Nothobranchius furzeri: one gene and its partners. The protein of the gene in region 3 purifies or fractionates together with the protein of the main gene of each other region. This does not show direct contact. Links are inferred from orthologs where the notes say so. Each region holds a gene or a part of one and is shown on either strand. Other genes may lie near its edges.

Region 1 (3,652 bases), on a different chromosome or scaffold from region 3:
AAGTGTGTGTGTGTGTGTGTGTGTGTGTGTGTGTGTGTGTGTGTGTGTGTGTGTGTGTGTGTGTGTGTACTGTATGTTTACAGTAAGCATGTGTCAACTCTGAGTGAGTTGTGTGAACTTGATCTGTCAGTCATTTCTGCTTATGCTGCATGTAGACAGCTGCTGCTTTCTGCATTGATTTCAAGTATTTATAGTAGATGTGCGTCAGACTGTGTCTGATACACACACACACACACACACACACACACACACACACACACACACACACACACACACACACACACACACACACACACTAGCTCAAATTAGAAATGATTTAATGGGGAAAAATCTATTTTTTCCCCGCTATTTTATAAGGAATTAAAAAAAATTGTTCAAACAAAAGCTTTTTTTTTTGTCAAACACAACAAAAAAATGAATTTTAGATTATATTTATATATGTGTCGTCCAAACAGACAAAACATATCTGATGAATAATTTACAGGTAAAAGTAAATGAGTAAGTATTTGGGAAATGTCAGTATATATTTATAATTTCATCTGAATTTCATGGAATGATTTGTTGTTGTGTGTTTAAAGCCTTTATTACTCATACCCAGTGTTTACGGCTTTGTTTACTGATGGAAAGAGCGACCTAAATATTAAAGGTCACAGATGACTCAGCAGTTTTAAAGCACATTTGCTAATGTTTAATAGATATTATTATAAATTACTAAATTTTTTAAGCTCAGAAAGAAGTTATTAAGTAAAATCAGATTTCCTCAGCAATAATAATCATGTAAAAGTTAATTACAGGAACATGAAACTGGACTTTTACCTGATTTCTGGTGTTATTTACTGTCTAAATCTTTCTACAGGTTTTCTTAAATTTATGGTAATTTTCTGTATTATTCTTTCCTTTTACTATTTATAGCCTAGTTTTTACACTAAATATTTTAAAATTTCCAGTTTAGCAAGTTCCATTGGTCATCATCACACACTGGTGTAACTGCTCCCCAGGGGGAGCGGTGAGCTGCAGCAGCGGCTGTCCTCGGGAACTATTTGGTGGTTTAACCCCTCAAACCAACCCCTTAAAGCTGAGTGTCAAGCAGGGAGGCATTGGGTCGCATTTTTAAAATCTTAGGTATGATTTGAACTCCGATCTCCCAGTCCCAGGGCGGACTCTACCACTAGACCACCAAGAAGGTGCATAAGCAAGTTTCCTTCAAAGAAAGTGACATTAAATCATTCTTCTCAGACTTATCCTCATTAGGAATCACATTTTCTATACTGGACAGATTTTTTTTACTCTCCTATAATTAATGGTTGTTGAGCGTGTCATTACTGACCCATGGGCGGCTCATCGTGGCCCAGAATTCGGCGACTGTAGTGATGTTTGAGGAGCACACCGAGCATCTCCGGGCTCATCTCCGCCTCCCTCCTCAGCGACACGTTGGGAGCCACCATCTTATCGTATGTGTACAGGTAGTAGCTGTCACAAAGAAGCACACAGAGAGAAAGAGACACTTAGAAATGGTTTGTTTAACAAGATTTTAGTACTCTGTATTCTAATCGAACGGCTATCGGTGATTTATGTCCCTGTCCAACGAACGTATCTGAACAATCTTTGATTGGCATCAGTTTTAACTTAAAGCAACATCTGAAGTCGGGAGCACAAACAGGATCTGTCGACAGGATCTCACTCTTAACAGACCTTCAGCTCATCACTGATGTCCAGGTAGTGGTCCAACTGGGAGAGACGCACTGCCTGGAGATGCAGTGAAACCATTAAAAAACATGTTCAGTTTATTCTAGCTTTGGACCCCTCCCCCGTTCAGTCAGTAGGACCCTCCAGACAGCGCTGAGGCTTGAGCAGTGAACTAGGCTAAGCCTGACAGCCCAGTGGGCCTCTGCGTGAAACGCTAAAGCAACCATGTCTTCCTCTGACGTGGACGAAAATGACGGACTGCAGGTTTGCAGGAGCATCAAGCAACCCAGATGAGATCGATTTGATGTTTGCAGCAAACTAAATATGACTGAGTGTTATCTGAGGGTCTTTTATTATATTTTAAACAATGACTGGTTTGAAGTAGCAAGATGCTGGCAGGTGATCACGGCGTTAATCCTCCTCCATTTAGTCTGGTCTGATGTCTGCAAGCCTTCACAAAGCATGCCAAGGGCCGGTCACATGTAGTAACAGCACTATAAACCCTCTAATTCCAGGTTTTAATCTGGGGCAGATTATTGCTAAAGATTTGCTAAAACTGAGCCATATTCAAACAAATGGTGGTGCCACCCGCGGACGGAAATGAGAGCCGGAAGGAAAGAAAAAGGAAGGAGGAAGAAAGACTCACAGGAAAAAGAGCAGAAGAGTGGCGGCATTATCTTGAAAAAACAAAAAGGATGAAAATGAAAATAAAGTCAAACAGAAACTTAACAGAGGAGTAGAAAAACCACCTCAGATCAATGTTTTTCCAAAGGTGCAGCTTCTGGCTTGTACGTGAACAAAGTTCCGGGTTGTTTACAATGGCAGCTTCTAATCTTCTCTCGGACAACCACATAGAAGCTAGCCACCATCGTATCTAAAGCCATCACATCTTAATGATCACAACTGAACCTTTGGGCTGTCTGTGCAGCACTTCATTTGCTGCCATTTGAAAAACACATTACTACAAACTGTAAAAAACCTGCTTCGATTGACCGTTGGTTGGAGATGAATGGACACAGGTGGAGTGTAATACCTGGGATGGACCAGGGTGGGGTGTCCTGGCTCCTCCTTGATGTCTGTGAAAAGACGGTTGAACACCAGAGTGGGCGGAGTCGGTTTGCCCTGCAGAAAACCAAACACACACACAAACATCACATTAAAAAAACAACGTTATGATGAAAAATGTGTTCATCTATTAATAAACTTCCTGGTTGAATAGACGAATCACTATAATGCAGCTGAACCACACACACACACACACACACACACACACACACACACACACACACACACACACACACACACACACACACACACACACACACACACACACACACACACAATTATAAAAGCAAACAGCAGGAGGAGAGGGGAATGTGTGCCATCTCTTGAAGCTATAATCTAATGAAGCTAATATATGCATGCATAGATGGGATGCGCGTGAGGGATTACCCATCAGGCATCAGCTGAGACACTGAGCACGACTCAGAAGAGAAGATAATCGAGATAAAGAGCTTCTTCTCTGCATGTTAACTTGTGTGTGCTGCGGTGGGGTGAAGGAGGGTGGGCAGAAGGGGTGAACTTTGTTGTGTGTGATGGCCTGTGTGTGTGTGTGTGTGTGTGTGTGTGTGTGTGTGTGTGCGGAGGAGGGTGATGGAAAGGCACATGAATGTTTACAATAAAGGAAACAACTACTGACCTTTCTCGCAGGCTCAGCCTCGGCTAACTTGTCGCCGGCGGAGCAGAGATCTACCGAGGACTTCCTCAGCTGAATCTCCTCTTCCTCCCCTGACTTCTGAAGGGCAAAAAGACAACACAGTCTAACAAACCATCCTCAAAAGAAGGACAGAGCACAGAATAGATTTGTTATCACACTTTTGAAGAACCATAAATGACTGAGTCTGTTCAAAAGCGAGAGGTAAAGAAAGTCTCGGAGTCACAGAGGGAAATGAAAATGATAAATGAC
Region 2 (3,752 bases), on a different chromosome or scaffold from region 3:
GAGGAGTTAAAACCCGGGATCGAGTTTTCCTCCCAGCCGGAGGAGGCCCCTGAAAGCAGAGGTCCTTTGGGTGTGCCCACTCCCGCCTGAATGGAAGTGTGTGCCAGCGGTGGGCATTCACGCAGGACTTTGGCATTGGTCTGGATTACAAGAGGTTGTCCCGATTTTCCCTTTCTTCCCGAGATTCCTCTGAAAGCAGCCTGAGAGGAGGAGGAGTGCTTGTAAACAGTTTGCTGTTGCTTTCTGAGCTCCACCAACAGGGCTGCCTCCAGGAAAGAGCTGCGGTTTCAATCCGATGGTCAGACGGGAGGAAGGGACCGGTGGGGGTGGTGGGTGGTCCCGTGTTAGCTGAATGACCCTTTTGTTGGGATCATATTATGTTTCCACCACAATACTCCTAAACCCCGCTTCATCCGCTCCACCGATGTGTAACAGTTCATGCAAATGGGCTTTTGCTGTGAGGGGTGGGCCTGGCTCCAGAAACTCCTCCTCACACCTCCACGGCTCCAAACACACACACAACAGCCAGTCTGCCAGGAAAAATGAAGGATTCAAGTGTTGGAAGTTTTACGTCTCAGCGGCCGAACCAGGAACACGCCAAGCAGCCGCGTTCAAACACGTTGGTGCAAAAACGTCGGGTCTAAAAACGCAGAAAAAGCTTAAACCGCACAGGAAGTCAGACTGGAGACGGCCACGGGGACCTTTATCACACCACACACACACACACACACACACACACACACACACACACACACACACACACACACACACACACACACACACACACACACACACACTTGTATTTACTGTACAAGCCAATAAAACGACACCAGAGGGTAAATAATGGCTTTATAGCCACCAGAGGCTGGATGAGACTCAATTAGCAGCAATATGGTGATGGAGGGGTTGGGGTGATGATGCGGGCTCACACACACACACACACACACTGGTTAACTGAGTCAGAGCTAACCAGGACCCACACAGAAAAGGGTTCTCCTCCTCCAGAACCAGATGAGGAGGTCGGACTCACCCTGGATGAAGCTTTCCTCTTGTACTTGTTGGTGAAGTCGAACTTCTCCTTGATGTCGTCCAGGAGCTGCTCCAGGCGGACCTTCTCCTCTTTCCCTGTGTAATCCTGACCCAGGAGGATGTACGCCCTCCAGTTGGCAGAGTCGAAGCCCCAGTGGCACGTCCGGTTCTCCTGCGCCTTGTGGCTGTGCACCACGAACTTGTGGGTCGGGTACATGAGTCTGCAGTCCATGCACTGGATGCAGGCTGCGTTGGGGCTGGAGTACAGCTCCGGCACCAGCAAGCCCTTGCACTTGCCGAAGCACTCGTGGTAGACCTTGAAGCTCCTGTCGGTGAGCTGCAGCTCCAAGGACCCGGAGCCTAGCTCCTTCTTGCAGCGCGGCGGGTAGGCGCCTCCGTAGATCAGGGCGTTGCACAGCCGCTCGGCGTCCGTCTTGGTGATGAGGCCGCAGGACGGCGCCGAGAAGGGCAGGATCCCCATGACTTTGAGGATCTCCAGCTGGTCCGCCGTGCATCGGGAGCAGTAGATGTGCAGCTCGTCGCACACGGAGTTGATCTGCTGCAGGGTGAAGTCCCGCAGCACCGTGTTGAGGATCTGCGGCAGGCACAGCCGCTTCTCCCCGCCGACCACGAAGCAGGAGATGGTCTCCGCCTCCAGGACCGTCTCACACCTCTCCGTGGAGCGGTCCGACGGGATGAAGAGCGGACCGGGCATCACGGGCTGCGGCAGATGCTGCAGGACCGGTTCGGGCTCCTTCCCGTCCTTCTTGAAGAGGAGCTCATGTTGCCACCGGGCCGAGAACGCCGCCGGTCCGCCCAGAGAGCTCATGGAGCTGAGGTGGAACTGCTTCAGAGTTTGCTGCAGTCCCGGATGAGGCTGGAAGCTCTGCCGACTTACAGTCTCCATGTTTTTCCTACAACTTTGGAAGCGAAAATCCTTCTTCTGGCTGGCCGGGAGTCGCGAGGGTCGATCCGTTTCTCGAGCTGGTAAATCCGCGGTGTCCCAGAGCTGCGTGGAGCTGCTGAAGCTTCATCCAACATGAATCCGAGCGCAGCGCTCTAGACACCAGTCCTCTCCGCGCCAGCCCTACGGAGCGCACACCGGCCAGAGGGTCGCAGCCCGTCCATGTCCGACAGGAGTCCGAACTCCACAGGGCGCAAAGTTCCGGTGGAAACTTCCAGAAGCGGGACACGAGAGGCAAACCCGCGCGAGCACAGATCCCGAATTCAGGTTGGTTCTGCTGTCGAGGACCGCAGAGATCAGGTCCGCCTGCCCCCGCACTTCCCTCTGACTGGAGATGCTGCTGGCGCGCGCTGCCTCCTCCCCTCTGCCTCGCGCCCTCCCCCCTCCCTCCCCCTGTGTTTGTGTGTCTAGCTCAGTCATTGAATCCCGGCCAGGAATGTGAGTGACTCTGCGGGCAGGCCGACCGGGCTCTTCCAGGAACAAGCCGTCACCCCCTCCAGCGAAACACGCGCGCGCGCACACGCGCGCACCCCACGCGCACACACCCAGGGGCGCCTCCAGAAAATTTAGATAGGGGGGCCAGATGGCCCAAAAAGTTTTGGGGTGGCAAACCAAACTGGTGTTAGTGGAAACTCTGGGAGAGTTCAGCCGGTGGCGACGTGTTACACTTTTATTCATTTTTATTAAAAAGCTCTACGTCTCCAAAACATTTAACTTCAGTTTTACAAACATTTCAGAAAAATACTTTTCAGTTATTCAAAATGTATTTAAAATTTATTGTTTTAGGTTCATTCACCTGTTGCTGTGTTCACAAAAACAACACCTACAGAGGTAAAAACTTTTTATAATGTTGAGCAGCGGAAACATGAATTTCTTTTTTATTCTGATTATTTATTTACTCATTAATTGTATAATTTTTATTTTGTTTTACAATTATGTCTAGAATAAAGATCAATATGTGGTTTGACTGAATATTCAAACCGCAGCAACTTTTCTAGGGGGGGCGCACATGCCGCAGACACACACACACGCACACCCCCACAGACACGCACGCGCGCACACGCACACAGCGTACAAGTGCCAGGGGAACACTAATGCTGCATTCACAGATCTAATGATGGTTTTTTTAATCTAGTTTTTTTAAATGTGTTTCTGACTTTTTAGAAATCAGTTCACCAGCTAGCTCTGTGGACAGGCTAAGCTAAAGGCTAACCCGCGTGCTGCTAAAGTGTAACATGTCTAAAACTGTTTAAATATCAGGAGTTTGTGTTATTTAAGTACAGAAGCCATTACGCTTCCACAAATTCCCACATTATACCATTTATGACATTTTTTACAAACACAGGCCGAGGCCCAGTCCCAGTACTCGCCCTGTGCTCTTCAGCAGAGTGCACGTGGAGGAAGTGTGCTGTAAGGCTGCATGGTGCACAAGTGTGCTAATAACTGCAGAGTAGAGACAGCGAGCATCGTGTCATCGATTGCAACGCATGCGGGGATGCTGGTCGCTGTGAAACTAAAAAAACCTTCACTAACAACTTTCACACAGTTATTTAAATAATTTTACATCCATGCGGACTGAAGTGGGTGAAGTGCGGATCAAGGGCACAAAAGGGGCGTGATCAATCAGTAAACTCTACGCACTCGCACCCCTGGTCGGGATCACCCAGCTGAAGGGAGCAAGGGTGGAAGAGCCAGTTTTGAGAGCGGGCCTAAAATGAGTAGCAGTGTCAACAGGTAGCACTTCCTGTGCATCCTCGGC
Region 3 (3,652 bases):
CTCTGAGCCAGCATGACGAACAAGGGAGCGGCGCAGCAAACTCTTCGGGTGTTGCGTTCCAAAAGGGTCTATGTAGGGGGCGGGCGTATTACGTGAACGGACCCATCTGATTGGCCGCATATCAGAAGGACTACATTTGATTGGTCAAATAATACTTCCGAGTAAAAAACAGAGCTGGTTTACAAAAAGCTGATGTATGACACAGATGGAAATGTTTGAACCAAACATTTATCGCTGTTTTTGCAGTGTTTTGCGATGGGCTTATCGCACGTCCTGTTATTGCGATGATGATAATTTTTCGATATATTGTGCAGCCCTATTATAGAGTTTATTTTAGTTAGAGTTAAAAGTTATTACCTAAATAAATGCTTTCATATCAAACTATAGTTTTGTCTAAACACTACATTTTCACGTACACGTGATCCCTGCAGGCATTTAATAAATCTTATCTATTTTAAAAACAGGACAGAAGCCATAAACTGAAAAGACAAATGTTGTCTTTTCCCAGACTTATCCACACATGCTAGTTACATAAATCAACTTCCATGCAACCCCCTCCTGGGTGCACACCCAGGCAGCATAGTCGCAGCCATTATAAGTCTTAGTTGTTTTGTTTTTTTACAGCTGCGTGTCTGTTTCTTATTATTGTCACAATCTCAGTGTAAGTGTGACTTGCTGACTCATGCACAGGATGCATGAGTCAAGCATCTCTAACTCGTAGGCATGTTACTGTGATCGTCCACTATGCCACTGTCATCCTACATTGTGAGAAAGCTGTTATATTTGTGAACAGTACTAATCTGGTGACAATAAGGAAACACGTCTTTAACTTCATTATAAAATAAAGCCCAATATGAAATATTTATTCAAAATTAACAAAAACTAAAAATGCAGCTTACGTTGCATCCTAGCTAAGTTTAAGTGCACTTTTCAAGCATACTCTGTCATTGTGCACATCACAAAATGGTTTGTTCGTGAAGTTCATGCTTCCCCTTGGTGACTCTCTCATGAGAGCTGCTGCTTAGCACCCTCTGCAGATCTAGCTTCTTGCCCCTCCATGCACCAACACTAACAACACCTCCTGTTAAGCTGGTTAAGAGGTGCAGCCAGTGTGTGTGTGTGTGTGTGTGTGTGTGTGTGTGTGTGTGTGTGTGTGCGCGCGGCGTGCGTGTGTCACACAACACATAACACTAATATTCTTAACTTTAGCAACAGAACAGACTACAATGTAAAACGTGGTCCCTGCAGGCAGCCTGTTGATTAGTTGTTTTCACATAAAAGGACATGTTGTATTCCTGATAGCATCGCCCAACTGTGAGCAAATGTCACAATGTTTACCTCTTTAGCCAATTTTGAAGATTAATTCAAATCAAAACAATTACCTTTGCATATTTTACACTAAAGCCATACGATTTGTAGGTGTTATTTTGGTTGTTTTACAACTTTGCAATAATTTAGATGCTTTTGGGAACGTGTGACACACCCATTGAGGTACTGGACATCTAGAAGGCAGGTTTCATCACTTGCTTCTCAGCAGTAAACAAATACCATATTCTCCTCTGAGACCCAGTGTTTTTGTGCCAAGGCGGCTGCTCAGCAGAGTTTTCTCCCACCCGCCTCTTACCACACGGTGACAACAAATAACTTTCCATTTCTCCCTTGGGCCATAGCAATGGAAATGCTACAGGGGCTAAAAGGCTACAGAAAAGATAAATGAGCCAAGGTCAAGGTGGAGCTTTTATTGATCTAGAGCTTAAAATGAGAGCTCAGATTCAGGTTTGGAATGAAAAGCTGTGCAAACCTGCTTTTCCAATAGGTACCCAGAGGGCAGCTGTTGAAAGCAAGGGGTGCAGCTATAACTTTTCAGCTAACATTCATAACCCTTTTATCCAACGCACAAACCAAAACTTTAATGACCCTAGGATAGTCCTCTACTACCCCGCTGCATGAAAGTGAGCGGACATAACGTGTATTTTTATTACTACTACACAACAGAGTCAGACAGCAGAGCTGACACAACCAAAAGTGTGATGGTCTTCACCTGGGGGAGTTGAGTAGGACTACATGATACGAACCAAGGAAGCAAAGTTGTTTGTGACCTCAATCAACAAGGAAAACTAAATAAAATGTATACAGTAAGTGACAGTAAGGGGAAATAAAAAAAAGAGTTAATTCATATATAAAAGTACCTCGGTCACAACCTTTTTATATAACTAATCAACATCGCCGTGCACTGCACAATATGTTGACCTATTCTCTAACATTAGTCGTCACCATTTCCCCGTCTCAGTGCATATGAATGCAATACTGCCTTAATGTGTTTCAGATTAAATATGATAACTGATGCTAGACTGTGTTGTTCCTGCAGTGGGGAAGACCGTGATTTCTGTGAGATTTATGCTTGTTTCTTGATTTTAAAAACCTTCTTTTACACAACATAAACAACAACAATGAATGCACATGACAGAAGATAATAAACCTGTGTAGTTACCTGTTGCTACAGTAGCACTGTTGGGCTGGCTGCTGGTGCTGCTCACATCTACATAAAGCTCATCTTCCACCTCAGTGGAAGACGGGGAGGATGAGTCGCTGCTAAGCTCTTCACTGGAACTACTACTACTGTTGAGCAGGGCATACTTCCTACTTGCGATCACTTCACGTTTCTTCCTCTGCAGCAGCAATCGCTCCTTCTGCTTTTGAGTCCGCGGACCTCCTCCTGGAGCTGTTTTCACAAAGCGTTTCCTCTGCAGAGGCCGCCGACTGCTCAAACACTGCCGCTTCAGCAACACGGGCTCTGCCTCGGGCCGCACCCACTTATGGGAGCGACCACCACGAGTTCGACTCAAACTAGGACGCAGGCTAACTTCAGTGGCTCCCCCTGTAGGAAGGGCAGGAGCCTTATGCTGGCCTACTGATGCCCCAGCTTCTCCCTCATCATCTGAGCTCAGAGTGTCCGAGTCCCCGAATCGAAGGCTAGATGATGGAGAGGAAGCACAGTCACTAAAAGAGGACTCGTTATGTTCATCCTCACTGGGATGCTGTAGAAGGTCTATTCTGGCACGCTGAGGTGCCAGTGGATCCTCATTGATGTGGTCCTCCTTTAGCGAGCAGTCTGACGGCCCGGCCTGCTGGCCTTTTCTTTTCCTACGTCCAGGCAGGCTCCTTTCTGAGTCCCTGTGGGTCCCTGTGTCTCTCAAGGGCCGGTGCCTGGACTCACACAAGGTTTCAAAATCACTGCCTGCCTTTCCGAGGACCTCCATGTTGTTAGGGAAGTTCTTGGCTCCCTCCATGGACTCTGGGTTTACCAGTGGCTCCTTCAGGTGATCCCGTCTGCTAGTGGCCTCAGATGGCACCTCACTCTTCATGGTGGCAGGTCTGTCCTCGCAGGGCAAACACCAAGCACACTCACGTTAGTCGCTTCACTTCGTTCCACTACATTTCATAAAATCTAGGAAAAATGGGAAAAAAGAAGCAGTCAATAGATGGAAAGACCTCTCACGATGGCAAGAAAACAACTAAAGAATGTCACGTGCTTCTTATAAAACATAGTCTGATAATTGGGAGTTCAAAGTTAATACTTCTCATCTTTAACCAAGTGATCAACAAGACTTGATAAATGACCCGCACTTGTATCACGCCTTTCAGAGTCAGA

Evidence for each region.
Region 1: the proteins of rnf111 (region 3) and skila purify together in Homo sapiens (affinity purification with western blotting; 3 studies listed by BioGRID). This does not show direct contact. The link is inferred for Nothobranchius furzeri from reciprocal best matches to the Homo sapiens genes RNF111 and SKIL.
Region 2: the proteins of rnf111 (region 3) and skia purify together in Homo sapiens (affinity purification with western blotting, with the first as the bait; 3 studies listed by BioGRID). This does not show direct contact. The link is inferred for Nothobranchius furzeri from reciprocal best matches to the Homo sapiens genes RNF111 and SKI.

What each region holds. Positions count from the first base shown.
Region 1 is NC_091751.1:45,646,414-45,650,065, reverse strand, and holds part of skila (ski-like protein), read right to left. Parts: intron 3,482-3,652; coding exon 3,386-3,481; intron 2,809-3,385; coding exon 2,720-2,808; intron 1,471-2,719; coding exon 1,328-1,470; intron 1-1,327. UniProt on the Homo sapiens protein: May have regulatory role in cell division or differentiation in response to extracellular signals.
Region 2 is NC_091755.1:44,987,316-44,991,067, reverse strand, and holds the start of skia (v-ski avian sarcoma viral oncogene homolog a), read right to left. Parts: upstream 2,315-3,752; 5' UTR 1,937-2,314; coding exon 1,031-1,936; intron 1-1,030. UniProt on the Homo sapiens protein: May play a role in terminal differentiation of skeletal muscle cells but not in the determination of cells to the myogenic lineage. Functions as a repressor of TGF-beta signaling.
Region 3 is NC_091749.1:59,532,172-59,535,823, forward strand, and holds part of rnf111 (E3 ubiquitin-protein ligase Arkadia), read right to left. Parts: intron 3,449-3,652; 5' UTR 3,366-3,448; coding exon 2,492-3,365; intron 1-2,491. UniProt on the Homo sapiens protein: E3 ubiquitin-protein ligase. Required for mesoderm patterning during embryonic development. Acts as an enhancer of the transcriptional responses of the SMAD2/SMAD3 effectors, which are activated downstream of BMP.